Linked DNA regions of Lepisosteus oculatus. The protein of the gene in region 1 interacts with the protein of each later gene in a pairwise test. Links are inferred from orthologs where the notes say so. Each region holds a gene or a part of one and is shown in the gene's direction. Other genes may lie near its edges. The genes, in order: rabenosyn-5 and ehd3.

The links.
Region 2: the proteins of rabenosyn-5 (region 1) and ehd3 interact in binary tests that used the Homo sapiens proteins (3 or more experiments, as listed by UniProt). The link is inferred for Lepisosteus oculatus from reciprocal best matches to the Homo sapiens genes RBSN and EHD3.

Annotation. Positions count from the first base shown.
Region 1 is NC_090699.1:55,415,736-55,432,662, reverse strand, and holds the start of rabenosyn-5, read left to right. Parts: upstream 1-10,007; 5' UTR 10,008-10,113; intron 10,114-12,372; 5' UTR 12,373-12,535; coding exon 12,536-12,698; intron 12,699-13,920; coding exon 13,921-14,055; intron 14,056-15,358; coding exon 15,359-15,459; intron 15,460-16,045; coding exon 16,046-16,091; intron 16,092-16,177; coding exon 16,178-16,339; intron 16,340-16,927. UniProt on the Homo sapiens protein: Rab4/Rab5 effector protein acting in early endocytic membrane fusion and membrane trafficking of recycling endosomes. Required for endosome fusion either homotypically or with clathrin coated vesicles.
Region 2 is NC_090697.1:18,387,611-18,403,784, reverse strand, and holds the start of ehd3 (EH domain-containing protein 3), read left to right. Parts: upstream 1-9,587; 5' UTR 9,588-9,691; exon of another isoform or gene 9,692-9,921; 5' UTR 9,922-10,041; coding exon of another isoform or gene 10,042-10,049; 5' UTR 10,050-10,254; coding exon 10,255-10,481; intron 10,482-14,727; coding exon 14,728-14,904; intron 14,905-16,174. UniProt on the Homo sapiens protein: ATP- and membrane-binding protein that controls membrane reorganization/tubulation upon ATP hydrolysis. In vitro causes tubulation of endocytic membranes. Binding to phosphatidic acid induces its membrane tubulation activity.

The DNA of each region.
Region 1 (16,927 bases):
AACAGAATATAATCATATTTTCATATAACATTCAATAGATTCAATAGATTTATTTGAGTGCATATAGCAATAAGTTGTTGTTAAGTTATGTTAACATTAAAAATGTAAGTGCTTAGTAAATGGGACAGTACCACCATTAAATTTTATTAACATAATCAGATTTTGCTTTTTCCTTATTACTTTCTCTAACAGTCACAGGCTTAAATTCTTTTTGAAGTTTACTGTAAAAAGGACACATAGGTCTTGGCGTTTCTACAGTATGTCTTATACTATGTGAGCACTATCAAAGAGTGGCTGGTGCTTTGATGAGTTTACCGTACCTCTCTAATTACTCTGTCAGCGAACAAGGTGTTCTGTATGTAAAGAAAAAACAAATTCAGGTCAGCCCAACTGAATAAGTTCATTCATTCATTTGTACAAAAGCTGGAGTTAATGGATGTTTCTTTGTGGCTGTAAAAGCAGTACCTGCGAATGCTGAAGAGCTTCTGAACGGAACAAAATGCTTAGAAACAGAACTGGTGCACTCCATCTGTTTTTTTAACAAGGAGGAAGGGGGCAGAGGTTGTGACCAATGTCATATATAAAATCACTTTACTGATAGTGCTTAGTGTGGATTAGCCCAGCACAGGCTCATATGAATGTAATATCCAGCTGCAAAAGGGCACAAATGAAGTTTTCTACCATGGACTTCAAATAAGAGCATTATCTCTTAAGATCTTAATTTATACATATTGGTCAGGTGCATAAAACACACAGGTGTTTTTCTTCGTCTAATACATCCTGCCTCTGCGAACAGGATATGATGCTCTAGGTTGATCTATAAGCCCAGCAGAAATGGTACTGTACCTGCTGAGTATGCTTTTGAAGTCCAAAATGATGGTTGAAGATTATCCCCCAATGCTCAGTTTTCAGTCAAAAAGATACATAAACAAGGCTGAAAATGAGACCTTCAAAACTACTCCTGTTCCACAATGATTTGGAAGAAAAAAATGCATTTTTCTAAATCTGGGTGTCATAAATCCAAACTGATTTCTACTACAGAAATCTACTACTACTTCTACTACAGTGCACACACATACAGTTCTTAAGCAATTGAGAAACATTTAATGAAGATTCTTAGTATTTTATGAATAACTGGTATTTTAAAAAGACGACTTTTTCCTCACTCTATCACACCAACACATTTTCTTTCTTGTTCCTGTGTCATCACTTCATTCATTCAAAACAAATAAAATATCATTCAGATGTTTTTTTTTGTATGGCCAATTCTGTATAGTCACATTTTCAAAGGGTTTATTTTAAATTATCTTTCAATTTTCCCTCTATTAAACACCTAAATCAAGGTATAAAGGCTTGTTACGTTGCTAACAATCTGAAAATTGAGGTGTATTGTACTTATTTTAAATTGCTTTATTTTATAGACAGGTTTATTACAAGATCCTGCACAATTGTCTAGAATTCCATGTAATGCTCAAAGTACAGTATAAGGATTAATGTGGCACATTAACAAGAGACAGAGACTGGAAGGATTAGTGGGGGGAAAAGTCACAACCTTTACTTAGCATGGCTCAAATATTGCCAAGTTTGACCTCAAGTCAAGGTATAGATCAGCTGCACTAAGAGAAGAGTGATGGTGGTACTAAGGCAAATGTGAGGCCAAGGAATCAATTTTAAAAGCTTCTAGCAGCCCTTATTATTCTACTAAGCACATGTCCAGTAGAATAATAAGACAGTCTCAAAGGTTTATGTGCAGCATGTGGAGTAGTGAAATCACAAGTCCCTCTACGACAGGAAGACCACTCCAGAAACACACTCCCCCGGAAGGGAAGGTACTTCAGGGACTGAAATAAGACTTCTGTCCTACCGAATCTTGATTTATTTCTGAACATATAAGCCATTCAAAATAATTGATATGGAGGAGGCAAAAAAGCAAAGATGGAACTTGAATTTCTCCAGTGTCTTTGTAAATGTAATCAAAATGTAATGCTAAGAACTATAGGATTTCCAAGTGTGGCGAGTGGTGCTGCGTTATTTACAGGATCTTAAATGTAAGGCGAGTCAATTGCACCAAACAAAGCGAGTATCATTCTATTCATTCAAACATGTTTTAATGTAACTTAATGATGGACAGTGTAAATAATAATGTACTGTGCTGTTTCACAGAGTTCTGCAAAATGAACGTTTGGATTCCAGCTGGTCTATCCTACTATTTGTTCTGGTAACAATACTTAATACATAAAGAATGAGCTTGAAAGGGGTTGTAGTCAATCTTTAATTACAATTAAATGGTGGTGCAAAATATAATTCAGATGAATTAGTATGCTTGGGATTGTACAATAGCACCAACGGGCAAGGATTGTACTTAAAATATTTAACACAAGCAGTTTGCGTATCCCACAATTTCTAGTAAGGTAGTAGGAGGCAGGGTGCTAGTAAGATGTTAACTGTGATGTGCTGTCAGTGCATAGGAGATCTCTTATCTGCCACCCAAGCTCTTTACAATGATTGTCAGGTAAGGTAAGCAAACAGTGAGGTTTGCAAAACATTGTAAATAATTATTAGTAAATAATATCCTATTGCTTTTTGTAGTTTACAAACCACTGAACCATTAAATATACAAATTCAGTGTCAAGCACTTAATTCATCTACCAAACCACAGACTAATCAAGCTGCAGATCAGTTTCCACGCCAACAGAAAAAGAAACAACACCGCACTTCTCATCTACAGTCTGTTTCTCTTACCTGCTTCTAACTTAGCTATTGAGATACACTTATTTGTTCTTTTGTACTTGTGTTTTGCCACAAAATTGCACCAGAAATGGAAGTCTTTAGTCTTTTATTTCTGTCATGTTAGCGTTCTCAGCTGTGTATGAGAAGCATCAAAGGCAGACAGCTGACAACTTATTAAGCAAGTCTGCAGAATATAAGCAAGTCAATTACAGGATATGAGGATAACATGTAATAACCAAATAGACTTAGGGATTTTCACTGTACTGTATTTATCGATTGAGTCCTGGTTTCAGGGAACAATTTCTCTCATACTAAAATAATGTTCTGGAACTGGAGATTTCTAGTGTTCAATGTACTTTTAATTAGCTACAGTATTGTATCCCAGTATTCCAAAATATTAGAATTAGGGGTCACCCATCCTGTCCAAATAAGTGGGAATGGCCCACCATATAGTACATCCCACGAATCTTACAAAAGTAGCAGAAGACCATGCCTTTACTTCAGTGGGATAAGGAAAGAAGGCTGATGTATGTCACTTCACAACAGGCATATCTGCTGGTACAGATACTGTATCTCTGATGTAGTGCTAAAGATAGCAGCAGACCTGGCTAACATGTCAATCTATACGTCCTCAAGGGCTCTTGGGTAGTGGTGGGCAAATCTAAGAAAACATTAACAGTACGGACACTTTAGGCTCCCTGAAGGTACTGAACTACTACCCTCATCTCTTTCAAAGCTGTGTGATCTGCTGCTGGTTGAAGGGTCCTACAGTATATCTCCACATACAGCTCAGTGAATTAGGCAGTGCATTGCTTCTCAGACATTGTTCCTGGAGTACCTCTGTGACTTCTGGACCAGTTCTACTAGATCAGATGTTCTTAGAATTGATGCTATTACATGTTGCAGCTGTAACACTGCTAGAGATGGACCAACCCCTTATAAGGCATTTTTTTCTATTTTTCATAGGATACTATAAATACTGTACATGTCTTTATGGAATTGACAAAGAACTTGAACGGACTTGCAGATTATGTAGAGATGAAAACCTGACATTTCAAAAGGTGACATTTCAGGGAAAAATAAAAGATGGTAAATCTATTAAAACGATTAGGAAGTCTAATATGGACATTAATTCAAAGTATTTACAGCAGAAAGTCCTACAACTTCCAGTTCATATCCCTGGAACACCTCACCATATGGGTCCATACATGATTTATTTATATGTATATAAGAGCACTTCCATAAAGGAAGGCTGGAACATTAGAGCCAGCTTTTGCAAATACGATTTCTCCAGGAAGGTTGCTAAGATATCAACATTTATGAAAGTACATTATTCCTTCTATTTGTTATGATACACAGTAAAAACCTACTACCCGATTGAGCCTATCATTATCCCTTCACAAGAGCACACAACCACAAAGATTTAAACACAATGAACTGTTCTGGATTTTGAATTCATAAACCATGCTTTACAATGGGACAGAAAAATTCAAAGTAACTTATCTGAGACAATCCTTGAGTACCTTATAAATAAACTACTCCTGAAGCCTACCTTACGCAGTACTTTGGAGTTTAACTTATTTTCCGGATCTCTTTTCAAGATCCAGAGACCAAGAATACTATACTTCTTTCCTTGGAGCATACAGTATGTCTGTGCTGGACATAAAGCAGCTTTCTAATGAACAACAGGCAATTTTGACAGACTCTATATACTATGAAGGAACTCTTAGAGTCCACCAAAGAGTAAACTGTAAATCTCCTAGACACAATTTCAGTATTCCGAATGGATATTTTGTCATTTTGCTTTCTTAGTGAATTTCTTAAATGGATATTTAAAAGCAACAAAATAAATAATAAACTGAACTACAAACTCACTCACATTGTGGTGGAAGGCTGAAAATTACCACCTCCCAATATTATATGAAAGGTCTGCAGCTAAATCAGATGAGCAACTACTGCACCTCTCTGTCTATGTAAATCAAAACTAATTGCATGTTATTAGGCATACAGTGCTCTCCTTCCAATTTAATACTGCAAAGCAGTGTATAGAAAACACGAAGCATCTGTACTAGACACACCAATCAGGACATTGTAGTCTCCACTCCTGACATACTGAAGGATTATAATTAAAGCAAAGGTACTGGTTAAACAGGAGGTAATTTTCTTGTCTTATAGCCTGAAGGTGGACAATGTATTGAAGGTGGTTATTAACCATTCACTGCCAGCATCTTTATTCCATTCCAAGTTTTGGACTTTTGGAAAATGACGTTTGATTAACTTAAAACTAATCCATAGCCTTAGGCAATCGCAGTACTTGTTAGATGTTAACCAAAACATGATATATTACAAATTGTTTGGAATATCAGTCTTTATTCTACTCTCATGTATATACATAAGCTTTGTACTGTAGGTAAGCCTTTAGCAAACTGGATAAAGTTTTCCTCAGCCTATGCCTCATCCACTGAAAATTTAGAGTATCATACCTTCCACAATATCTCTGAGGAGAGAATGAAAGACAAACCACTTAGAATTTATCATTTCTTCAGGGAGATGCCTGAAGTGTGGGCAGGTGCATACATTTACAAGCTACTCACCCCTGCCTCCAAATCCTCAGGAGAGAGAGACTTTTCTATGCTAATTTCCAACTACCCTTTTCTAAATGAGCATTGCAAATAGCATCCAATTAATTTTAATTTCACATTTACTTGTTGGCGTTTTTTTAATCGCACCTTCCAGAATATGGAAACCATGCTCTGAAGATACTTAAACAATCAGGATCAAAGATTAAAGTAAAAAACATTCCATTAACTTCAGAAAATAAAATCTGAAAATTGAATGAGAACCATGTGAAAAAACAGATAGTAAAACGTATATTGCACTATTAATAATTATGTTCCATATCTATGGAATTAATTCAATTTTGCTACCATTCACCTTTTGCATACTATTTGTTTTTTACTACTATTCATTTTGCTAATCTAGGTACAACTAAGGACTAGACAGTTGTTAATGCACAATGTTCAAGCTCCCAAACAAACATTCTATTCCCCCTAAAATTCATAGAACACTATTTCATATAAACATAGTAGCAACAAAGATGTTGTATTGAAAGCACTTTAACAGAATTCAACTCAATGCAAGCTTCAATCAGGATCATATATGAAAGCACTAAATAGGAGATTTACAAATATTGTCTAGTTACTGTGTATTCGAAGATGTTGCAGATAAATCATATCTCTGTTCTTGTCTTTCTAACCATTTCATCAAAGACAAATAACATGACTGAGTGTTGAAAATATTTATTGCCATTCTGAATGTACAGAACAAATGTTTCTCCTAACAAAACCAGTCAGCGTTTATCCATCCACCCATTTTCTAACTGCTTCATCCAATTCAGGGTTGCCTATCCTGTAAGCAATGGGCACAAGGCAGGATACACCCTGGATGGGACACCAGCCCATTGCTGGGCACACGCAGACATGCACATACTCACACTAAGAGCAATATTCCCAGAAGCCAATTAACCTACCAGTATGTCTTTGGACACTGGGAGGAAACATGCAAACACTGGGAGAACATACAAACTTGACACAGATAGCACCCCAGGTCATTAATCAAACCAGCACTGTGAGGCAGCAATGCTAATGACTGTACTACTATGCTTCCTGGCAGCAATTATTATGATATGATATTTAAGACAAAAAGAATGATGACATCTTGTACATCAGATACATGGTATCTGAAAAGCTCTATCTTCAGTTAACAAAAGTTCCAACAGTTTCTTCTTAGTACAAAGCCACAAATGATAGCATTCAGTAGTTTAACATTATTCCTTACAAGCTCAATGCAATTTCAGAAGCATAGTTTTGAATTCTGTTGCTTTGCTGTCTTATCCTAAGCACGCAGATCAAATACCATGAAAACTCTAAAAATGCCAAGTATCATTTGCCTTGCCAAACAAAAATTATATTATTACCACCTATTGCTGGTCTTCAGGACAGAAAAGCGGAAATTGGTCTGGGGTCTAAAATGATTGATGGGGCTTTTTAAATTCCACCAGCTCACGTATATACACCTCAGTGGTGCTTCACAGTGGCAGCCTTTTGCAACTTGAACCAATGCTGCCACCCAGTGGTTGAAGAAGAGTTTATATAGGTTATATAGACAGAGATCAAGTTCAAGTTTGTCATTCCAGCCATATATAAGTATACAGTGTATACAGTATACAAAATATCATTCCTCCTGGTCCACGGTGCAATTACAGATAAGACACTGACATGGACAATGTAGACAGGACTAGCAATGCTAATATTAATACATACGATTGTGCAAACTAAGACAGTGGCCATGTACACAGGTTATATACATGGTGTAATTTAACTGTTGCAGAATAGTATAAAACAATACATCACACAATATACACTAAACACTGGGGGGATTTTAAACCTTGTTTCTGGAATTGGAGTGGGTGCAAGTAAGTACCCAGGTGTTGAGAAGCCTAACAGCCTGTGGGAAAAAGCTGTTACAGAATCTGGTGGAGCGAGCCCGTATACTGCAATATCTTCTTCCAGATGGTAGGAGAGCAAAGAATTTATGGGAGGGGTGGGGGTGGGGGGGGTCATCTACTATACTGGAAGCCTTGTGCATACAGTGTTTGTGAAAGATGACATGAATGGAAGAAAGGGATGCTCCAATAATGTTTCCAGCTGCTCATATTTTCTCAGCCACAGACCATTTCAACAAGTCTCCTTTGGATTTCCAGTTTTTAAAAGGCGCATTTATAAAGTGTAAACTAGTTAAAGTGTATCTCCTCAAGAAGCCTTTGGAAAGCAGCCATTTTCAGTTAAGACCAAAATGTATCGTTCCTTTCTAACCATAATTGTATTTCCAAATCCAAACAATGAGTGCAGGTTAGATAGAGGATTTATTCTTAGATTACAACTCTAAACTTTTCAGGACAAACCCAGTCAAATTCAGAATCTTGGGTCTGTGTAAGTGTATAAAAATAAATGGAGAAAGTATCATGCAGAACCCACAAGATCAGCACGTACTGTATGACGGAATACTGTTCAATTCATCAGGAGTTTTATTGATTTGTTCCAGCTCGGCTAACACAGTGGTTAGTACCACTGCCACAGCTCCAGGATCCTTAACTTCATTCCATTTGAAATCCAGTTGGAGGCTCTTGCCTGCGTGAAGTTTGTTTTGTTCTCCCCACCTTCACAGAGGGTTTCATCAACAACCTCTTACCCTCCCAACCACATATAGAGTAAACCCAGCATTATCCATTTCATTAACAAAACGCTCTCTTCATTACTCTGCCCTGTCAGAATTGCTGTGGACTTGTTCCGTGGAAAACTTAGGTTCTGAGTGTCAGTGAGACATGACGCCTCTCTTGGTTGTACTTCTGTGGAAAGAAATTTCCACAATGCATCATGCTGCACAAAGCGATAAGTTTGCTTAATACGAACAGTGCAAAATACAAATCCTTTTATATTCCGTGAAGAACTCACATTGTTATGATTTTGCACTCCTCATTAGTAGAGATTTGCAGGCTGACTTCAGCAGGAACCGTCTTCGACAAGAAGGCAGTGTTTCAGGTGTGAGACGAGAAAACAACACTCACAATAGAAAATCAATTTTAATGCTCAATAAACACAAAATTTCATTTAAAGAAGAAATAAAGGGTTTTTAATTGGAATAAGACTTCCAATTAAATTGGACAGACAGAGACGCAGTTGTCAAGTCAACCTTCATTATGAGTATAACAAAATGTGTATAATGCAAGGTTGTATAAGACCAGCTGCAATCAACACTTAACAAAAACTATAACACAGGCCAACTTTTGATTTCCCATATTATCGGTGGCACTCTGGCTAAGGATCTGCACCTGTGGCTGGAAGGTTGCTGGTTTAAATTCCTAAAGAGGGAGACTCCAGATGGCAGCACTGATGAGCACAAAGGAGGAAGAAGTTTTTAACCTGGACCAAATGAAGCATCTCCCAGAAGCCTTAGCTGGAAAAAACAGGAAAGGATGACTCAGCATGAGATGAGCCAAGGTTCCAACTAAATAAAGTACAAAACAAGATTTAAAGACACTGGATTAAGCAGGACTTTCATTTAAAAAAAAGGAAGAGTAGCAGCTTCTGGTCCACAGTCTCCACATTTTAGCATAATCTTAAACAACTCAAGTCCCTGCCCTTAGCTGCTTGCAAGAAATGGCTAGATGAGATTCTCAAACAACCAGACAAAGCTAGATGTACTGAATAGTCTCCTCTTGGTTGCAACCTTTCTTATGCTCTTAAAGTGGAAAAGAAAAAAAACAATAAAAAAGGCTAACAGGGGTTTTTAAAAAATTGAAAAAAGTCAAAAGACAAAACACACACTGGTGAGTTCTATCTGCAGTGATAAATTTTAGGATAACCAAAATAACAATAATACAAGAAAAAAGGAGGAGTGATAACAAACAATAATAACAAATGTGATATCTGTTCAGGCACGTGTTGTGTAGTAGATTTTTTGTTTCCCTCTAGTTTTGCCAATGTGTCTAGACCAGGGTTCTTTAATCCTGGTTCTGCAGGCTGACAAATGAAGAGCTGGGACAAGCTGGTAATGAATGAACTGGTCACATCAAATATTCATCCATCAATTGTCTCACTGCTGTATCCAATACAGGGTTTCTGGACACTATCTGGAAAACAAGGGGTGTAAGTCAGGATGCCCCCTGAGCGGGATGCAAGTCCATCTCAAGGTACACACAGACCCATGTGCACGTTCACACTCACACCAGGGCCAGTTTTCCCAGAATCCGGTTAGTCTATCAGTATGTCTTTGGTCTGTGGGAGGAAAATGGAGCACCCCAGAGGAAATTCACATGAACCTGGCGAGAACATACAGTACAAATTCCACACAGATAGCTCCCCAAGTCTGGAATTGAACCCAGGGTCCCAACACTGTGAGGCAGCAATACAAACCACTGTGCCACTGAGCCACACAGCAATTGATGATGAATTTTTCAGACTAAAATAAAAAATAAATATATAAAAAAAATGCCATGTATAATTTGCTTACCAACAAGAATTGTTGGTAAGCAGATGTATTCTAATGCAAACATTCCTTCTGAAAGAAGTCATACATGATATGTAGATCAACTGTTAATCCACATGCAACAGAAGACCCCAGAAAATATGTTTTAGTGCTGTATGTCCTCTTTGCCTTCCTATCCGCTACACTGCGCTGCACTGTAATCACGTGGCACGTCATGTGACTGGCAGGGCCGTGGGTAACCTTTCACCTGTGGAGAGTGTATTCTATGTAGCCAGCGATCGGCACCTGTCAAAATATACTGTACTATCAGTAAAAAAGATCTACACAGCGTGATTTGTGAGTATTAGCGCCTCGATTACTTGATCCGTTTTGTATGTACGACGGATGATTGCTTTTCTCGCCTGGATCGGGTTATTTTCTGTTGTGTGATTTCTGCATTGTGTAGTAACAGATCCAGTTCAGCGAAAGAACACTAAGGTTTTCCTTATCGGTTTGATTAATTTTTCAGGTATTCTGATGCTGAAACTAGACCGATTATGTCTCTTTAATTACTGCGTTTGCAACACAGTGTTTGTTTCTGTTACACGATTAACCAATAACATTTTGTAAATGAAACTTGATTAAATCCCATCAAGAGTTTGTCTTTGTCATATATATTTAATGTTACTATAGACCCAAAACATTAATGATTATATGCTTTTAAACATGCCACGCGAAATGCTTCGTGAGGGTTGATAATAGATCTTTAGATTGTTTTTGTGGTTTTAGTGAGTGAGTATAAAATCATCTAAAAGTATAGTGATTAAAACAAAACGCTTAAGAAACAGCGGATCCCAAGACATCCGTGAACACGTCCTTATTGTAATCGACAGTCAAGGACTACTTACTTGTCTTGTTCGTCTCCATTTTTTAAGCCTTCAAGCCTTATTTCACACAGAGAATAACCATGTTGTGTTGAGGGTTACAGAAGATTTGCACGACTCTTTAAGGAGGCGATATTGTGAAGTATTCACCAAGTGAAACAAATCCAATCGGCCACCCCATGCCTCTCGGTAACTGACCGAAGAGTACGAATCAAGCCTCCTGCTACCTCCTTCAAATTGTGCTCGTTTGGAGCAGCCGTCCTGGCCTTTCGTGATTATAACGGTTTTGTGTAGCGCTTTTCGCTAAATGGTTTTTCTTTTTGCATTTTCAAATTTTAAAACAGTATTGACATGCTGTTTTGAGTTAAAACACTGAACACTTCAGCTGATAGAATAAACATTAAATTGTTTTAATTTCTTTGGGTGTGCCTACACGCCTGCGTTTCCCGTCAAAAGAAGGCCATTAAGAAGCCATTGAGAGGTGTGGACCTTACAAGCGTTTCATTATGAGAAACTCAGCTGAGGCTTTTAACATCTGTACGACCTTTTCTGTTCTAGTATACTGTTCCCCGCTGCTGTTAGTGAATTTAGTATATTGCACCCTTTTAATATGTGCTGAAGCCTGCAGCTCTGATTTCTGATTGCAGGCCCAAGGGATTAAATATAACAGGGACAATGTTAAATTAAGAGCAGCTGTCTCTTTTTTCTAGTCTGTGATGAAGATAAGGAAGACTTTATAGTGCTATTAAATCAAGCAGATTAGGAGAAAACAGACCAAGAGTTGTGTGGTGTATTTCTAAACCATTGCCTTGATTTGTTTTTAATCTGGAATTGCCAATTAGTGTTTATAATACAACATCCCAATTTTTAATTACCAATTAAAAAAAAACTTGGCTATTGGCAACAAATCCTTTACCAATCCTTACTCATTAATTGAGTGAACTTCAGGCTCCACAGTGCCTGACACAGTCAGAATTAGTTTTTTTCAGGTATCCATAGAACTTCTCAAACTTCTGTGTCCTGTATGTTTAAACTATTTTAATACTCTATATTAAAGAGTTCTTGTTGTCATTTATTTTCATGGTAAACAGCTCAGTGAAATGTTACTTTTGTGTATAAACCATTTCTGTATCATGTTTTAAGAGTTTCACATTTTTGCTAAAACAATTATTTACTTCGATCTCATTATTTACTTTTAGTTGGATACAGCAGTACTGAAAAAATATTAATACTGAATTATTGCAGTGGTAGTGAAATGTCTGTGATTCTAGTTACATCATAGTCACAAGCTGAAAACTAACTATTTGTATTTACTGTTAAAAACATGCTTTCTTGACTGGTTTATCCATTTAAGGTTTCCTGATATAATTCCATAATGGAAGTGCAATGCAGGAAGTAAATGACTCACACTCCCACTTGGAGAACAATTGGAAAACTCCCAATTGGAAAATGTAATGCATAGAAGCATTTGTTTCTGTTTTAATACTTAATGTTGCAAAAATGAAACTGCTGTCTAAGCAGGACAGTGCTGTCTGATTGTTGAATGCCTTATTGAATTCTGATTTTAAAGCATTTTTACACTGTCCCAACACAAGTTCTTCATTCGACCTGTCCTGTGCTTATCACCCACACTGTAAAATATTGAATATTTTAAAAGTAAGAAAATCATGAATGCAGTAGCTCATAAAGAAAATGTAGGTTATTTTTACTGAATGTTTTGATGTTTTTTTAGGTTCTATGTGGGTGGCTTATGGCCATGGAAGACCTAAAGGCTAAAGTTTTCCTCCGGCTTGGAGCACTATGAGGCAGCCATATTGCTCTGGGAGAGCCTCTCTCTGGCACCAGCAGTTCCGTTTCTCCACAGCTTTTGTCTACCAGCAGCCCGCATTTCAAAAATGGCATCCAGCTACCCACCTCCGTTCGAGGAACAGGGGGAGGTGAGGGAAGGCTTTCTCTGTCCGCTGTGCCTGAAGGACCTGCAGTCCTTCTACCAGCTCCAGGCACACTATGAGGACGAGCACTCTGGGGAAGACAGGGACGTCAAGGGACAGATAAAAAGTAAGAGCTAGCTTTAAAACCTTATGTTAGGTTAGGCTAGGAGCTCTATCACCCTGCAACTCATAACTGACAACTCACTGAAGCTGAGCAGGTGTAAGTCTGGCCAGTACCTGGATGGGAGACCTCCTGGGAAAAACTAAGGTTGCTGCTGGAAGTGGTGTAAGTGGGACCAGTAAGGGGTGCTTACCCTACAGTGTGTGTGGCTCCTAATTCCCCATTATAGTGATGGGGACACTGTAAAAAAATAAATAAAAAAGGCACTGTCCTTTGGATGAGATGTAAAACCATGTTCCCGACACTCTGTGTGATTAAAAATCTCAGGATGTACACTTGTGTCTTGGGCAAATATCCTTGGTCTTTACCATTCATGGCCTCATAATCCCCATCTATGGGGCTTCATCACTCTATTCTCCTCCCCACTGATAGCTGATGTGTGGTGAGTGTACCAGCACACTTTGGCTGCTGTTGCATCATCCAGGTGGGGGCTACATATTGGTGGTAATGGAGTCCCTATTATCTGTCAAGCACTATGTAAGTGTAAGGAATTTTTATTAATTAATCCTCAACATTTGTTTTTTCTTCTCCAGCTGAGGTTGCAGTTGATCTTTTTTCTTTTTGTGAGAGAGGAGCTAATGTCAAACTTTTATAAGCAGGTGTCCTGCTCAAACAAGCTAATGCCAGACTTTTTTTAGCGTGTGTCCTGATCAAACATTACTTATTACTTTTTTGGGTCTGTTGTGCGTTCAGACAGAAGAAAATAATTTGCAGTAGTTTGGGCTGTTTAAAGACTAGTCGATCCATTTCATTTCGGATCTGGTTTAAGCCCTGCCTTCTGGTTCTTCAGCATATGCAAGTTCAGGGTTTCTGGAAGCAGGACGTAGGTCTGGATGTTGCCATGTTGAGACAGGGGTGAAGTGAAGGCGTGGCTTCATGACTATTTTAAACATAATAAGAGAGACATCCTTGGATGACAACAGCCTCCATGCATTTCAGGCTTATTTGCTGCCTGGGTTTCCCTATTTTATTCAATTCTCACACTGTTTTCTCACTCAGCCATTTATACCTTCATTCATGGCATTTCTGCTACTTTCTCTTATCTAATGAAGGACTCCTGACTGAAATGTCGATTGAACAAAGCTCAGTAAAATCAGCTGGGGTCAGCCATCTCGTCAAGGTGTGTAACAACAAAGCAATCCTCCGGGTGTCTCTCCTCTCCTGTAAGGTCTGGTGCAGAAAGCCAAGAAAGCCAAAGACAAGCTCCTGAAGCGGGATGGGGAAGACCGAGCTGAATCTGGGAGCTATGAGTCTTTCTACTATGGAGGAGTTGATCCATATATGTGGGAACCCCAAGAACTGGGTAAGACTGAAACACTGGTAACTAAGGCCCTGCGGTCAGTATCTGTATAGCTGACCTGTTCAAAATATGTATTAAAACGGGAAAATATACAAATCATATGAAGCACTTGCCAGTGCAACTAAAATGCATGCCTCCATATAGCACTAATAGTGGGTGAGGAATTTTGCAAAAAGAAATATCGCTGCAAAAAGGAGAGTGACGGTTTGAATCGATTAACTCAGTTTGATGATGCTTCAAAATAAGTCAATGAGGTTGTTAGTCGAAATGAATTTTTAAAAGGAAAAATGCTTGAACCATTCGATCACTGTATTTAATGACTATTTAACCACCGGGCACAGGTGGACTACAGAGATAAATTCAGTATTTTTACTTGTAGAATTTAGGTTCTTTTATAAACACTTTATGTGTTTTAATACTTGTGGGTGATGGTTACATTACATATAGTTTAATAAAAAATTAGGCTGCAAATACAGATTTCACTATTGTGTTTGCGGTTGTTGTGAATTACTTGCCAAGCAGATAACCTTATGATGGTTCACAAGTGTAAAAGTAGAAGTCTTTCATTTGCTGGAGCCCTGCACATTTCGTTGTTACTTTTTCATTAGTAATTCATACAAAACAAGCTGTTTTTATCTAAATAATCAGATAGTTGTGTAGGTAAGACCAGAGAACCCTGTAGCCCTAGATCAGTGGTTCTCAGTGGTCCTGGAGGAACACTGTGTCATTTTTTGCTCTGTTTTAATTGTCCTTAAAACACTAGCTAATGGAGTTCAGTTTTCTATTTGCGGCATGTTTATAACTTTGCTTTCGGATCATTAAAGATCAAATGGGATCTACAATTGGTGTCAACCCTCTACCTGTATTTTCCCACTGAATATAACCAATTGGACTTCACTCCTGATACAGAGTATGTCTTATACATTGTCATTCCCACCTGTGTCTTTTCATCATCAAGTGACGAACAAGTAAAAGAGCTGTTTAGTCAGAAATAACAGCAAGCCCGTTGAGGAGGGACTCTAAACTCTGCATGCTGAAGTTGGAAACAGCACCCTTTGCAGTAGAGAATTCTTGACACTCAGGATTGACAGGAGAAACAAATCTGATAAAAGTCTAAACAAGCAAGCTGATCAATTAAGTCATTACCTGGCAGTGAAAACCAGCTGAGAGGTCAACTGGCATGGAAACCAGCAGACTGTGTTTCCTCAGTACCAGGGTTAGGGTTATCCTAGAGGAATGGATCTGTCCATTTATACCATATAAAGTGCATTATAATTCAGCCAACATACTTTTTCCCCATGTCTAGGTGCAACCAGATGTCACCTAGAAAGCTTCAAGAAACACAGAGCTGCACGAATTGACCACTACGTTATTGAAGTAAATAAATTAATAATCAGATTGGAAAAGGTGAGTGGTATTTCACTCATTGTAAAGGGGTTTGCTGACATTCCTGAGATAAAATACTGAAAGTTGTTGTAGAGATTCTCTGATGTGTAGCTCAAACGAAAACAAGTTCTGTACTTAATTTGTTTCATGCCTATTGTTAGACTAACAAACTTTCAATTTCATGGGTCATCAGATAAACTAGGTAGATAAAATACAACATTTCATCAACACACTTTTATAGCACAGAGACATTTTTAACTTTCAATCTCTGTGTTGTGAATAATGAATTATATCTAGATGCTACAAATTAAAATATTTTAAAAAGTATGTTTATACTGTATGTAAACCATTATGTCTTTGACGGCTCATCCAGGTGTAGATTTTAATTCTTGGTGTTTCAGTGTAGCCGATACAGTACACTATGTGATACAATACACTAAAGGATGAACTATCACAGTCACAGTTTTACATGTACTTATCTAGTTTGTACAGATCTGCTTTCTTCCCTAAGAATTACATTTATGATATCAATATAATGAGAAGTGACAAATGTGAAAATGTGTTCGTTAAGCAATACATAAGTCTTGTATTTCCTTCTCACTATTAGTTAACATCATTCGATAGGACCAATGCAGATGCTGCCACAATTAGAGGTGAGTAGAAGACTCGTCAGTCTTTTAAATTATATATTCAGTCGCCCTGTTTTTTAACTGTTGGTTATTATAATTCTCTTCTTTAGCAATTGAAAAGTCTGTTGTTTCGTGGGTAAATGATCAAGATGTGCCATTCTGCCCTGACTGTGGCAACAAGTTCAACATTCGAAACAGACGCCACCACTGCCGTCTCTGTGGATCCATCATGTGCAAGAAGTGCATGGAGTTTGTAACCCTACCCCTGGCACGTGAGTGACCACCTTTTCTGGAAGCCCCTACCTGTGGCCTGGCTGTGGGCATCTGCTCACATTGTATGCTGTGTTGTCTGCACATAGCAAAGAGAGATATGAGAAGAGATATGCTGGTCCATTGAGGTTGCTTAGATTGTATTTAATTCTGCTTTTGAAAATCCTTACAGGATATTTTAGGATCAGACTGCACAAAATGTGTGGATCTGTACTAAACCCCCACAGTTCTTTGAAGAAAGATATTGTACTGTTTGTTCTAACTAATATTAAGTATCAGGTATATTTTGGATGTGTACGCCACTTTTCCCTCATCTTGGGTGACTGCATTGATTATTTAAGTGCTCTGATGGTGGGTTAAATCAGAATTGCTGGATAGAGCAGGAAAATATCTGTCAGAGCGCTTTTGCAGAAATGAAGTAGTATAATCCCATTTGAGTGGAGAGCACAAGGATGTTTTGTAGAGCTGGCCTGCCAGATCATACAACAAAGACCGTACTTACAAGACCAGTACAACTAAGAACAAAAGACTTTAAAAGAAAGAAAAAGTAGGAGAAAGAGATATTGGAATAAGTTTATTCTTCAATGATG
Region 2 (16,174 bases), on another chromosome or scaffold:
TTGATTACAAGTAATTTCCTTATCATTCTGTTATATTTGCTTTCATAAAAGCTATCTAAAAAATAACAGTTGTCACGTGTTTACTTACTGTAAATGGTAAAATCTAGGGTTGGTAAATTACTCTACAGTAGTTTGTTATTTACCTAACGATTTCTACTGAAGAAGTGCAATTGTGGCCAGAAACGTTTGTTTCTCCTGGGATGTACAGTACGTAGAGTCCATGCGTGTTGTGTTGATATATTTTCATTATACATTTCAACATTGGTTAACAATGGACAAAAGTAATAAATTATAAAAACAAACATAAAATAATAAATGTTAGGTACTGTACATTATAGTTACTCAAATGATTCCAGCCTAATTGGGGTTTCATGCCATCACATCTCATGTGAGCTCATTGTCTGTCTGTATGGGGCCTCAAATACATATCCAAATTATTACTTACTGAATTTAATTCAGTAAGAGATTGTATATTTTATACAGTATACTGCATGGTTGTTTGAACGTGTCCCTTTTAAAACCTTTGTTTTGTTCTCTTACTTTTGACTAGAATGGCCATATACCCCCAAGGTATTGAGTCAGTATTGTAAAGGGTAAGACTACCACAGAGTCTCGTTTATCATCATCATCACAGAGGAGATCTGGGGATCAAGAGGGACAACTGGAACATATTGTAATCATTTGAAGCTCTAAACTCTATACAATCATCATCATCATCATCATCATCATCACCATCATAAATTCCTTACACTTATATTGTGCTTTTCTGGACACTCCACTCAAAGCACTTAACAGATAATGGGGATTCCCCTCCAACACCACTAGTAAGTTATTAGCACGGTTGTATGATGATATTTAATAGAATCGGATGCTCACATTGCTTGTGCTTACAGTAGGCACTCTGTTCATTATAAAAAACAGAGCCCCACACTAAACAGATACAGACTGGTTTTAAAACAGTTCTTTAAAAATATGGACTTTTATAGAATATGTATCGTATATTCCTTCCTTCAGATAAAATCTAGTGCACACAAATGTGATTCATTTAATCTATTTTCAGGTATGTGGAAAAAATAGATTTATTTCTGGGAACCCTCCATTCACAATGTGATTTCAATAAAGACAACTCTGTTTTATAGTGGAGGGAACATTTTAGTTATTAAACTACATGAAAAATGCTTTTGCTTAAAACGTCATACTGTAAATAGGATTACGGTAAGATAAAAAATAAAGACGTGGGTGGAAATGTGATACATGACTAAGATACATGGAGAGAAGGAAGGGGAGAGAGGATTTAGGAATTTTAGGCACAGCTCTATTCAAATCATTTAAGTGTTCCATTTAAATCTCTCTTTGTTCGTAGCAGGTTTTACTCATATATCCTATTGAAATCTGAAAAAAAAATCCACAAATGAAAGACAATAATGAAACAAGCAGCTTGAAAACTAAAAATAAACAGTTCATACACAAATCTTTCTGTTTATCAATTATCCATCCATCTTCTAAACTCTTTGTCCAATACAGGGTCACAGAGGAGCCAGAACCTTTCCTGGAAAGAGAGGGCACGAGGCTGGATACAGGGCTAGATCTTGGTGTCTGTAGGCCCTTGGCACTTTCACTCCGAAATGTGCAAAAAGAGAGGTAAATGCCAATTGATTTACGTCGATTGACATGATACACTTTAAACTACTGTAATGCTAAATCACGCAATTGATGGAGCGAGTCGAGCGACCATCTCTTTGATACTTCTAGTTTCTAGAACAACCAATGATAGCATATGATTAGTAATTTAGAGCACCTAGAGTCGATGGCAGGCATGTTGTTTCAACTCATTTTTCGTTAGTCACTAGCGTTTCCCTCCTTCGTAGGCCCTAATAATTGCGTAGGCCCTAGGCACGGTGTCTACATTGTCTACTGGGAAAGCCGGCACTGGCTAGATACACCCTGGAGGGGACACCAGTCACACACACTCAGACCAGGGCCAGTTTTTCTTAGAATCCAATCAACCTAACAGTATGATTTTGGGCAATGGAAGGAAACCAGAACACCTGGAGGAAACCCTCACAAACACGGTCACAGTCACAGTTCTGTACGCAGAACTGTGACCCACTTTCCTGCCAGAACAAATTGTCCATCACACACTGCAGGCTCTGTAGTGACTTACAGAAGATTCAGCACTAACTGGAGGGGTGGTGCAGCTGTATATAGACAACACTGAAAGCTGGCACTTACCTCATTATCTCCAGGGGTTTCTGTTAAGGAGGATATCTTAGTGATTCAAACTCATCCAACACAGACAATCCAATTCTGAAACATCCTTTTCATTTTCAAATGCACTGAAGTCTTAATTGTGCTAGCCCGTTGGTTTACATGAAGAAGTCGTGGCTGTAGCATTTCCAGGAAGTCCAGGGCATCCTGGTTCAAAACTATTGTGTTTGTCTGGATTGAGAACTGGTTGATGGATAGGAAAGAGAGTGCAGGTGAGGAGTGAATGCTCTAATTGGAGTGATGTACAGTATGTAGTGGTGCACAGGAGGTCCCTGTTATACTGTACATCTCCCGACTTGTGTACTTACTGGCCGATGAATTATTTAACTCTACCAAACTTCTCTGTGCTTACATCATTCTTCAGCCAAAAAACAGCGAAGTAAGGGGTCTGTAGATGATTGTGTTCTGGAAATGAAATAAATATTGCTAAGACCTAAATCTAACATTAAAGTTTTTCTTCTAGATAATGCCGATGCCCATGACTTAGATTATGAATCATTATGCCCCAACATTAATGTTAAGGTTTTATTACTACAGTAGGAGTTTTGTGAAATTACTGGGACAATTTATTAATTGTAGCAGTAAACCACGAGGTGATTCTTTTATGGCTATTAGACAATCAATCATCAGGAACAGTCAGCAAGGCACACACATTAATTCAATACACAAGATATATTTATGAATACATAAATTGTACATATAAAACATATCACAGTCTGCCTGGATACAGATGGCAGATCTTACTGTGAGGGTTATCAAAATGGAAGGTACTGTATATAATCATGAAGAGATGCAAAACACAAAGAGATGCAAACAAGGAATATGCTTCAGTATACCATTCAGCAATACCATTTTGTTAATCAGTTTCATTAATACAACTTCTACATTAGATACTCAAAAGTAAATACATTACTCATATGAATTAAATTAAGATCAACACTTGTTGAGATATAATTGAATTCTTGATTGGCAATGTGGAATATTAGGTTACTTATCCAGATATGGATTGGTACTGTATTTCCCGATGCACAGACACAAAAGATCAGCTGGCAGCCTCTGTCTCTGCGGCAACATCCAATCAGCATTCATGCATTTGAAGTTATTGATGCCACCTTGGTCCATTGATTCTATCAGTGAGGTTGTGCCTAGTGTAGCAGCAATGCTTATAAATAAGACAGAATTACAGTAAGTGTTGCTGTGCTTTCCTAAATGAGGCCCCATCTTATTTTCAGAAAGGAGCAAAAAATCACTTGTCCTAAACTTGGCTTGTGCCCCAAAATCTGAGCATCTGAAGCCCTACTGGTCTCGGATTTTACCATGTTCCCCCAGCCAAAAAGTATGAGTGTGAAACAAACTAAAGAATTGATAAAACCTCTTGTAAATGTAGGAATTTTAAGCTCATCCCTGGATTTTGGGCCCAAATCAGCTTTATTTTTATTCTTTGGAAACTTTTCGGTGACTGGATAATGCGGTGCACCACTCGGTATTTGTATCCCAAAACTGAATCGGTCGGATCAAAAGTTGCAAGCAAACATTTTAGAATCTAAAATATTTGCTAGAGCTTTTAACACTGCTTTTGACTGTTTCACACCCATACTTTTTGGTTGGGGGAATATGTCAAAATCCGATGCCCGGAGGAATTCAGATATTGATTAAGGAATGACTCAGTTGACACCCCAGCTAGGGTTAAGGTTAGCATTCACACAGTACATAGACATCCGAAACAGGATCCGGAACAGGGACAGGGAATAAAATCAGGATGACGAGGCCAGATGCTCCAAGCCCTGGACTCAGATGGTCAGGCTGCTGTGATGAAGCCTATCCCGTTGGGTCTCTCCTGGACCCGCTTGTAGGCGGGCTTCTGGGCGTCCATCTCCCAATGGAACAGCGAGAGCGCCAGGCTTAAATGAGGAGACAGAACAGGGGGCAGGTACATGAAATCAACTAAAATACGAAAGGGCCAGAGTGCCCTTAAGAGGAGGGATTACGATTGTGACAGATGTGCAATGATTGGTTGAGAGTTTGGCGGGCATTTCAGACCCACGTGGGGTTACCACGCCCTGCAGGTTTCTGATTAGTTGTTTAAGGTGAGAATTGAGTAACAATGACTTGTGACATATATGGACCAAGGTGGCATCACTAACTTCCAATGCATGAAGTGTGTGTAGAAAAGAGCCCTACCCTGAAACAGCAATTGACTTGTTGGTTTTGGCTACAATTTGAAAGGAGTTAGTGACACTAATTGTCTGTTTCTAATTATTGTTTTTTATAAGGAATATATCTCAAGCTAATTACAAAATTCCATATGGATATTAATTTCCCTTTATAAGTCATATTGCTACTGTACAAATTATGTTATTTAAGAATGTAACCTGGACTATACTGTAACTTCACCCCCAGTACTGTATTTGGGTAGCTACAGTACAAGTGAAATACAGTCTAACTTTTGGTCACTAACCCAACTCTTCCATGAATCCCTATGGGGGAAGAGCCTCCCACTTTGAGTCACAAGAGAAAGGTTTACACTCTTACAGTCCTAAACCCTCCATTTTTATATTGTTTTTATGAGTTAAAATTCCCCTTTATACTGTACATCGTTTCACTATATAACATGACTTTCTGGTTCCAACATATATCAGCAACTGCCTGCATTAGGACCACTACCCTTTGTAATGCTTATCAATGATCTTGGCTGATATACAGTAGTTAGCAAACTAGGCAAGTTTGCCAAATGATACCAAAAGAAGATTCAGAAAAGCTGTAGAGGATGCAAACGGAATTAAAAAAAACATTCTAAAAATGTTCAGAGACATTTAGAGACATCATTAACCTTCAGAAGGTGGGAGGAAACTGAAATATTTGGAAAAAAAAGACAAGAACTTCCCATGGGGGAATATGTGAATGTCACACTGAAGGCACCCATGCCTGAAATTGAGCCCAGAACCCAAATTGCTGTGAGGAAGCATATAATAATTCCTGTTGGCTTTCTTGCTTCTTTCAGTTCAGCCATTGCCTGCCTTAAAATGTCAAGTGCGCTCCCCTAACACTGTATTACCCTACATGTCAGCTTCACTTTAATCAGATCTAGACACCAGGCTTCTAAAAAAAAGTATTGTACAGTATATTGGAGTATCATTACCATCAATTAGATGAGATTTTTCTAGATTTTTCTGAAAAAGGTTAGGCTTCAAAATTGAATGAAATGACAGGAATGAAAAGGAATGCCCAGTGTAAAGGGTGTTCATTTGAGTTGTACAGTAGGGTTGTCTAGTTCGCTTGCAGCCATATCACCCTGCAACTTACAATTGGCAGCCCACTGAAGCTAAGCAGGTGTGAGCCTGGTCAGTACCTGGATGAGAGACCTCCTGGGAAAAACTAGGGTTGCTGCTGGAAGAGGTGTTAGTGAAGCCAGAAGAGGGCGCTCACCCTGTGGTCCATGTGGGTCCTAATGCCCCAGTATTTACCAAAGATACCAAAGATTTGGTTCAAACCACCAAATGGAGATGGGCGTGCCGACAAGCGGACCCTGCTGATGCAGGATTAACGCTAGGATAAGAGAGTAGGGTTGTCTAGTTCCAACTACAATGTGCATCTAAGACAATAGAGCTCATAAACTATGTTTAAAGATAGAGAAAAAGATAAAGAAGTAGGTTATAAAAAATCACACAACTTTGAATTGTGTTTAAAATATGGGGAGTGTAATGATACAAGGTTGTACTTCTTAAACGCTGCCAAGAGCTGATAGTGGAGAATTATAATTAATATCTTACATGTTTTTTATCAAGTATGCAAAACACTGTAGATGACCAACTGTAAACTTGCAGTATTCCCAAACTCAATCTTCTAGGGTCTGGATTTTTCATTCAAGTACAAATTTTAACAAATTCTTATAATAAGTTGGACTAATTAGTGACTAATTAGTAGCAGGTTAATAGATTTTCTCAGGTGTTCATGTGCTGCTGATTTAAATATGTATACAACCTCCAGGGGCCTCTAGGGCTCTGGGTAGGGATTTGAAGGAGTTTGTAGGTTTTTTGAGCCAGGTCCTTCACCTGAATTGCTCCAGTACACTACCTACCTAAAACTGAAAATAGGAAGCACACATTTACCCATTGAATAATGGGAGTGTAGAGAACACTGAATAGCCCACACTTTGGTTTCGTTCAAGAAACAGCTGGATGAGATATATGAAACAATATGTTACTAACCACCACATGGGCCAAATAGCCTCCTCTTGTTTGTAACCTTTTATTATGTTTTAGGAGAGTTGAGAACCGCTGGCTTGAATTGTTCTTAAGTAGCTTTGCTGTTGGTGCCTCCTGGTGTTGAATTTTGTCTGGCAGTGTACTGCAGTGGGTTTATGGTAAATCTAAACACAGACACAGAAGGATAACACAAATAAATCTAATTGAGTCAGAGAGGGTACAAAGGTTAATGAATATCTGGGAAAGCCTTTTTAAGACAATTAACTATGTATTGTACCTTTTTAATGGCACAAACTGGAGCAAATAAGTGATCAAAACTTTCATTTCAGTGAAAAGTCAAGAAAATGCAAGAAAAAGCTTTTGATTACCTGGTCAGATGGTCACTACAAGGGTGAAGTCTGAGATCTCTTGCAGATTGCTGGCTGGTTCAGATTGATGGAAAATTGACCACTGAGTGAAGGCTCTGTGGAAGCAGTTAAGGTCTCTGGAGCTGTAAAAACAGAAGCAAGGTGCTGCTTTTCCTGTGTAAGACTGCCAGCGTTTGTGTTATTGTAGGGCCTGTGTGACATGTGCAAGCTGCCTGGGAGTAATGCAAATAATCGAAACAGTAGGAAACAAGTCCCACAAAATGCTGTCTCCTTCCAGCTTGATTTCATCACATCTTAGCAGCTAAGCAAGGCTGAGCCTTGTTATTATCTGGATGGGAGACCTCCAATGGACATTAGGTTGCCACTTTAAGTCATGTTGATGGATAGTAAAGTAGCACATATACCACAGGACCAGAATTTATAAAAACCAATGCTGCATTGAGGGGTTTTGGGTCACTTCCATTGAACTAAATTTTGAACTGTGGACCCAACATTAAAAACTATTGTTGCGGTTCTGGCTACCCATTAAGGATCCCATTGCACTGTATTTAAGAGTAGGGTTGCAACCCCAGGACCCTGGCTAAATTCCACACTGGGCTTGCACTTGGGTCTACCTAAAGCCCCCCATAATTTAATTGATTTGAAAAATGCTCATCATGCTGGTGCATAAAAGCCACAGCACATCACCCAGGTGTGGAATTGCACTACAGCGATGGATAAAGTGGGTCCCCACCTTTATGTAAGTGCTTTGTGATCCTTTAGGATGAAAAGTGATAAATAAATGCAGTTATTTATTATTAATTGATTGTGGCGTATATATAGCAAACTTTTATCTGAAGGTTCAAAGCTCTCCAGAAAATGAAGTATCATTGCTTGGCCACTGAATCAGACTAGCTTTCATTCTGTTAACAAAGGCTACTTGAAGTTTAATTTGAAGGTTGGTATGGTCACAATTTGACAAGGTACAGTATGTGCTGTGAGTGTCAGAGAAGCAGCACAGTACCCCATAGTGTTCCTTTAATTTTGGTGCTTAAGTATGGGGGAGCATCCTTTGGGATGTTTAACATCCCTACACATCTACACATCTGTGTGCATCTCTAGGGTGCACACTTTATATACTGTACTAGTCTTTTCTGTTGCAGTGTGAAACCATCGATCCAGGGGCTGAGTGTAACTGTTCCAGGAGTTCCTGAGGTCACCTAAGCTGTTTGAAGCTGTTTCAAGAAAAACAGGCCTTGAGATCATGGGAATTTACCCGGCTCTTGCATGCAGAGGAAATTAGCAAGGCCAAAGAAACCTTTTAGTTAAACTATTCAGCTGGTCTTTCCAAGTCCCATTGAACTTTCATCCCCATGCTTTTTTAACATTCCCAGCCTCTGGGAAAAGTTTCTGCTTTAGTTTACATTAAAGGCTCGCGCAGATCAACTGGTAGACACCTCCACGGATATATTTAATCTCTCCCTCACTCAATGCACTGTCCCCTGTTGCTTCAAGAAAACCACCATTTCAAATTCCTAGGTGTCAACATCACAGACGATCTAACCTGGACCCACCACACCAACCTCATAGCCAAGACAGCACGGCAGCGCCTATTCTTTCTCCGCAGACTAAAGAAGTTCGACATGCCTTCAAACATCCTTTCCAACTTCTACAGATGCACCACTGAAAGCATCCTAACCGGCTACATTACTGCCTGGTTTGGTATTGTAACTGCTCCACCAGGGAGTGCAAGGTACTCCAGAGGGTGGTGAAACTGGTTCAAAACACTACCCAGTGCGTGCTACTGAACATCAAGGATATTTACTCTGTTAGATGCCTCAAGAAAGCCAGGTCTTGGGGAAATCGGACTGTATATAAGGAGGCAGGTGGCGCGAGGTGGCCTCTTCCCTTCTGTGTCTTTGTTAGTGTAGATGCAGCGCTGTAACCCCTGTCCCTGTGTGTGGTAACCTTTCCCCGGTTCTGGTTAATAAATGTGTTGTTCAACCCCTTTTCCAGAGTTCTACGCCTGCTCCATTTCGTGCCGAGTCCCGCGGTCGTTACAATAATTATCAATGAGTAATGGAAACAGGTGACTTATGCCAGTTAATAACATAACTGATTCAACTACAATCGTTGAGATTCCAGAATATTTGGAATGAAAACGGAAGACATGATGGAGTGGGTATTAGTGATATAACATATCAGTGTCTAGTTTGATAAGTGTTGTTGTTCAGTTTCTTTGATAACAAGAAATACTGCAGGTTAATGTAAAACGAAAGTTTGGTGTGCTAAGAAATAATTTAATTCAGGGTTTTCCAATCCTAGTCATGTTTTATCCGTATATCTTCATTCCCAGTCAGCTATAGTTTAAAAACGAATACCTTAATGAGCTTGTTATTTTTTTAATCGATCACTTTAATCAATTATTCCAGATCTTCAAGTGCTGTTGTTTTGAATAGATCTGGAAAATATACAGACCGGCCATCCATGAGTAGGATCGGATAACAACGATTTCATTAAAAATGCCCGCTCTGAAGGCAACTTTCCACTGAACGTGTTTTTGAAATAGCCTTTGGTATCATTTAATTTAATGAAGTCACTATTACAACCGCCAGATGGAGCTATGTTTTAGTCATTGCCGCAAATACAAGTAAATGATTGTTTTCTAGGCGTTTCTATGACGTGCGGAGATAGTACCTCTTCCGCTAATATGGCGCTGACATCAGTGACTTCAGTCCTCTAGTGTCATGGGTGGGGCTTTGCCAGTAGTTGGGCATTTCCTGTACGATCATATTTCCAGAGGTCTGGTATTTAAATCAGCTGCAGTGAAGAAGCCGGGGAACCTGTGGTCGTCTGAGATTGTACAGAGCAGTAGGCATAGCGTCTTAATTATACATTTTTTTAAATTTATTATAGTCATTTACGTTTTTAAAGTTTTAAGTACACAATTCGAGGGGTCATAGTCGAAGGACACGTTTATTCCTGTAGTATTTCGAATGTAAGAAGATATGCTGTAAATATGACTTCTACTCGGATTCCTCTGCAGTTTGAATGAAATCTTGGGTTGTGCTTTTAATTCTCTATGTGTAACATTTTTACAGGAGACAGTGCGAGATCATCTCAAGATAAAGCTGAATGCATTTTGGCGATCTCGGCCTTTAAAGCAAAAAGCGGATTGTGGTTACCTGGAAAGAGAGGACGCTGTCAATGAAGAAATTTTGATGGCGAAGTATGTTCTGATTAAATACTAACACATTTGAAAAGCTTTTAAGAACGCCATCTGAAAAACAATTGCAAAGGAAGTATCTTTTTCTTTAAAGTGGGGGAACACTACGCAATTTAGTAACCACGCTGCGTGTTTTCAAAGAACACTCCAATTCTTTAAATTGCATAGATTACTGATAGTGTAAAGTTATCGATTACCGAATTGCATCATGTTCAGCTGGTTGGGTAATGATGACAGGAGGAAGAAGGACCCTGAAGTGTTTCAGACCGTGAGCGAGGGGCTGAAGAAGCTGTACAAGACGAAGCTGTTGCCCCTGGAAGAGCACTACAAATTTCACGAGTTCCATTCGCCGGCGCTGGAGGATGCCGATTTTGACAACAAACCAATGATACTGCTGGTGGGACAGTACTCCACTGGGAAGACCAGCTTCATTCGGTAAGTACAGGTATTTGCGTGTCCGCAATGAATATCGGACAGCAGGCGCTGCACACAAGATCGCTCTTGTTTGCCCATATCACATTACTGATTTTGTTCTTTTCATTGATACTAATCCAGTATTATTCAGCCGCAAAGTTAATTAGTTTTTATATTGTTCAGAGCATATTATAGCGGTAACATAAGAAGTGACCTTTTTCTTATTTGCCAACGTTATTGTAGACTTGTGTATATGAAGGGTAAGGCCCTCATTTAATAAAATGACTGATCATTCAGTGAGCAGATGTACAGTAATAAATACCTCAATAAGTCCAGACATTACACAGTATACTGCTGTGAAAACATTGCGTGACATAGAAATGAGTTGTCCCTCACCCAACTGTATTATGAAACGCAGCAACTCATTATTTTGCGAGCGTAAATTCAGTAATGAAAACAACCTGCTACTGCCGTATCTATGTCACAGTTCCCTTTAGAATACAGGTTCCTCCGCTTGTTAGTTTATGTATTTTAAATTTAATTAAGACCTGTATCAGATTTGACTGGCATTGTCCTTACATAAAGCTACAGTCTGAAGAAGCTCAGACTGCTACAGTGCAGTATGAGCTTCAGATTGTGAAATATGCAGGAGTCATATTTCAGATACCCCGGGAAAAGAACATCCTGGTGCTCATAAGCACAAGCCCATGATCTGTTGTAAATTTAAGATTTATGCTAGCTGCAGTTTCCCACATAGACTAACAAATGACCCAGTGACATGTGGTTCCCTTAACCCTGGTGTTCTATGTTATAACTTTATCTTTGAGGATTAAATGAGCTAGACCTTAATTGTCTGTGCTTTAGCCTGTGAGTGTGTCTGCTTAGGCATTTATACAGTATTAATGACATATTCAACTGCAGTCATGTGTGCATTAAATATCTCTTCACATGTTTGTTACTGATAATTGACTTTTAAAGGTTGGGCATTGTCACAGAAGCATCTTGTTTCTTACAAACGTCACCTGGATGAAACTTTGTAATTTGCACTGTTGGTTCAGCACACAAGCTAACAAGAATTCATCAGATTGACTGTTGTGCCAGTTTGCAGTATAGCTGTCTGCTGGTGTATTGTCAGATTGTTTGCAGTTAATTTTCTCAGATCATAACCAGAACTATGTTTACTTGTCTTTACTGTTTATTGTATGGCATTTACCATGCAGTCTTTTTTTGTATCCTTTTAAAATACCTGCCACTGATTGTTTATGGTCTGTGGAAAACATTCAGCTGTGAAATCAGTTTGAAAAACCAGAACCTAAGAACAGTTGGGATTATCCAAGTAAGTTTTGGCTCAAATAATGCCTAGACCTGCTTACTCCTTGAAAAAATACAGTGAAGTATCTCCATAGGTATTCTGGTTAAATTGGAAGGTATTTCGGCGACTGTAATTGGTAGTGCATGGTTTAGTTTGGTCCAGAGCAGTTGATTTTGAATAGCTGGAAGTTGAGTATTTGTCTCTTCTTGTACCATACATAATGGAAGCTTATTAACTGCTGAAGACCTAATAGGAAGTTCCTGCTAAACAGTGCCAGTGTTAGTGGGCCATCTTCTGCTTCCATTCTTAAGAGTTGTTAGAGCACAGGTTTGGGCAGGAAAGCTGCAAGTATTTGTTTAAATACAATGTCCAGGTGTAATTCCCAGCTTACTTATGGAATTCTCTCATCCTGTGAAAATACTTGGTTCCTCACAACTGCTGAGTTCCGAAATGTAAGCTTTATTATTTCTGATTATATTGTACATTTTTACCCCCTTCATCACACACTGCAGTGGAGATCAGCAGTTAGTGGATTATCCCTGTCAGATAAAAATATTCTGGGCAGCTGGCTTAGCAATTTGTAAATTTGGTAAAAACAAAAAGTTGTAAACCTTTATGTGCTGGCAAATACAATTAAAACTTCTGTGTTCTGTCCCATCTAGGCCAAGGAGGCACTAATAGTGGAGTAGAATGAGGTGCTTTTTCTTTTAGTCATCTGCAAATGTGATGGATCTGTGAATTTTGCAGTTTGCCTAAGTGTTAGTTCTGGGGAGTACTGTAAATGTAGTAGGATGTTTTATAGAACAAAGAAGATTGCATACTGGATAAAACCATTCCATAAGTATCGTCTTGCAAAATAGGACTTTCATTCAGTTTTCTCTATTATATTACTCATAGAAGAGGTTCCAGCTGCCTTAGTGCTATAGACATCATATGTACCAGTGATGTGATGTGCTTCTGGTTTTCTGGCCTCATTTAAGAGATGTGCTTAGTGATTGTTGGATAAGATAAGAGAGAGAGAACTTTATTAGCCATATAAAATTTCTTGCATTAGGAATTTGTTCACATACCCCAGCTTGCTCTCCATGAGATACACAGACAGGGAGAGAAGCTTGGGGTCAGAGCACAGGGTCAGCCATTTATACGGCACTCCTGGAGCAGTTGAGGTTAAGGGTCTTGCTCAGGGGCCCAACGGAGTAGGATTCCTCTGCCAGCCATGGGATTTGAACCGGCAACCTTCCAGTCACAGGTGCAGATCCTTAGCCACAGAGCCACCGCGCACTTTAGGAAGGAGCTCCAATATAACAAGTAGTTATATTATTTTAAATGTAAAAATACCAAAAAACATTTAAAAGGTGGGGAAATGTAAGAAATTTCTGAAATAAAAAAATAAAACTTTACATGGACTTATGTCAAGATGTTTGATTGTTTTCTGTTCTCCTGACTTTGCGGTAGTCATCAAAGTAATGTTTTGGAAAGGTTCAGCAGTTTCCAGTATGTGACGTCATTGTGGCTGTCAGGAATGACTTGCTGTGTAGAATCTTTATTGCTCAGCAGAGATTTCATCCAAGAAAAAAATCGTGTTCTCAAGTAACGACAAGCCGTGAGCTGGACTCCAGTGAAAGACGGACGGTGAGCAGGTGTCGGATCTTGTTAGCTATTCTACTGTCAGAACTGTGAATTTTTTAAAGTTTTAAACGCTATGCCAAGTTTGATAGGCATCTGACACTTAATAATATGGAGAACTTTGTCTTTGAAAACATGATTGCTTCTTCCCCAAAATAGGCAGAAGTGCTGGGGTTTCATCCTGAGCAATTCTTTTTATAATACATTTCTAGCTAAACATTGTTCATTGTTTCCCATGGCATACCATTTTTAAATGGAGCCTGGTAAATATGAAAAAATACCATTGAAAAAAGCTGCATGTCTCCTTTGTGGTTTATGAACCACCTTGTGTCTCCTAATATGGTATGGTTCATAAAGTACGTATGTGAACCAACCTTTTCATTGTTTAATAATTGCAGATTAATGTCCCAGCATTGATGTTTTGTTCTGGAAAGGTTTCGATAAAGAACAGGATAGGAATCATAATTCATGAAGTCTAAATAATGGTACTTGCTGTAGGTTTTGTGATCCAGTGGAATCAACTGTGATTGTTTTTCAGCACATAACCAATTCTGAATCATTTTGCTCAGTGAACAGTTCTGAGGCCTTGCTCTGCAGGTTATCAAATGCAAATGAAACAGAGGCAGAATATATATGTTATGTGGAGATAATAATAACATCACTTTATTAACACTTTACAATTTCTTGCATTAGGAATTATCTTTTCACATACCCCAACTTACTCTCCATGAGACACACAGACACACAGATGACTGCTTCAAGAACACTGCGCAGGGCACAAGTTGTATTGGCTTAATGTGCTTTCATCTTTAACCTTTATGTACAGTATATAGTCTTATAAGCATCAGTTTTTCTCACTTTGTGTTCTGTTTTGTGCTTCATTCTCCATGTATGTGATACATTGCGGTTTATGTCATAGGCAGGGCATTCACAGCTGGAGACAAAACTAGCCAATTTCAGGCCGAATGGCTCCGAACTGTGACTACTCAGCACACAAATGCTTTCAGGAGAAGATTTCACACATATACACTTCACATTTTAGAATAGTGTCACTCAATGAAGAATGAATTAAGTTAAATTGCCCATGATCCTCACCCCCAGTCCTTGGAATACGGCCTGTGAAATTGAGAGAAATTAATCTCTAACTTTTAACTGTTCTGTAGACTGAAGGTTATACTTAAGATTGAAATGAAGCACATGTTGAAGGAATCAAGCAAAGGCTGTAGACTAAGAAGATTAGATTGGTCAATCTTTTTCATTTAGATGAAAGATACAGCCCAGCGCTCAGGAAGATTTTTTTTCTCATTGCTTTTCTTTTTATTTGGAAAGGTACCTCTTGGAGCAGGACTTCCCTGGCATGCGAATTGGCCCGGAGCCCACAACCGACTCCTTTATTGCGGTAATGCATGGTGACGTGGAAGGGCTGATCCCTGGAAACGCGCTGGTGGTGGATCCGAAGAAGCCTTTCAGAAAGCTCAATGCATTCGGCAATGCTTTTCTCAATAGGTGAGTTGGAAAGCTTCTCATTTTTCAGGTATCTTGGCCTTGCTGTGTACCACATTGAAGAAAATCCAGCACTAAATTCAAAAGATTATTGAGGGCCAAAATAATAATCCAGATAAGAAAGGTGTAAAGGGATCATTCGCAATAGCTCAACTGTTTTGCAAAAGTCAGACATGTTTTCAGAATGTGGACATACAGCAAAGGTCCCTCAGTTGACATGCTGCTCCATCTTTTAATTTTTTTATCTAAATTTTTACTAAATGGTTTACTGGCAGGAGCTATGATTATACTTTGAAGTAAAGATCACAATCAAACATGTACATGTTGTAGTTTGAGCGGGGAACTGTGTCAGCTTTGTGCTGTGAAGGAACAAGTACAGTTTAATTCTGTGGTGAAAAGTAGAAAGAAGAAAAATCTTGTTTGGGTGTGTTCAGGTGACGGATCCTTTCTTTTACTTTTTCACATGATTTTAATCAGATTGTTGCTATGAGCATTTATCATGCACATACCTCCAAATACATCGGTTATGCCAAATGCAAAAATGTTCGAAACCATTTGTCAGAGGCTGCTTGTACAATGTTAGAATGAGCGTGCAGCATTTTTTTTTATTGTGCCATTTGTGGTTTAGGAAGTGTCATTTATCATCAGGATCAAAACCTCAAAAACTAATATGGTGTTTTAAAAACTTGCAGTGTTCAGTATTTACAGACTTTCACCAAAGATTCATTGTAGGATGATGACATTTCCAAACCACCAACTATTACAAGAATAGAGAATAGGGATGCTTTTATTTTTGTTCTTCCTCTTTCACTTTCCTTTAGGCACGTTTTAGAAAATCTTTGTGGATTATTTGGTAAAATGGCCGTTACTATAGATGCTGGAGACCCATATTGAAGTTGTCGTTTAAAAGAGTTTAGTTTAAATGAAGTCTGATAGCTCTAAACAACAAAACCTATGTATTGAGAGACATTACAGATGTTGAAGGCTATTTTTTAACTATTTTCTTTAGAAAAATTATTTGTAAAGAAACTGGCCTTTTGTATCGGTATGATATTAAAAAGCAGTGTGCATACATTAAAGTGTGTCAGTCCTTTTCAAATTTCTGTTTTGTTTCTTGAGTTCAGTTTCTATTTGCTACAACCAGTTTTCTTTTGTTAAGTAGTGTATTGTGATAATATGCTACTTTATCTCATTATTTAATTGTTATACTGGACAAGGTTTTGTCAGTGAGGCCATTTTCTTACCCCCTGGAGTTACTGAAGTTGTCTTACAG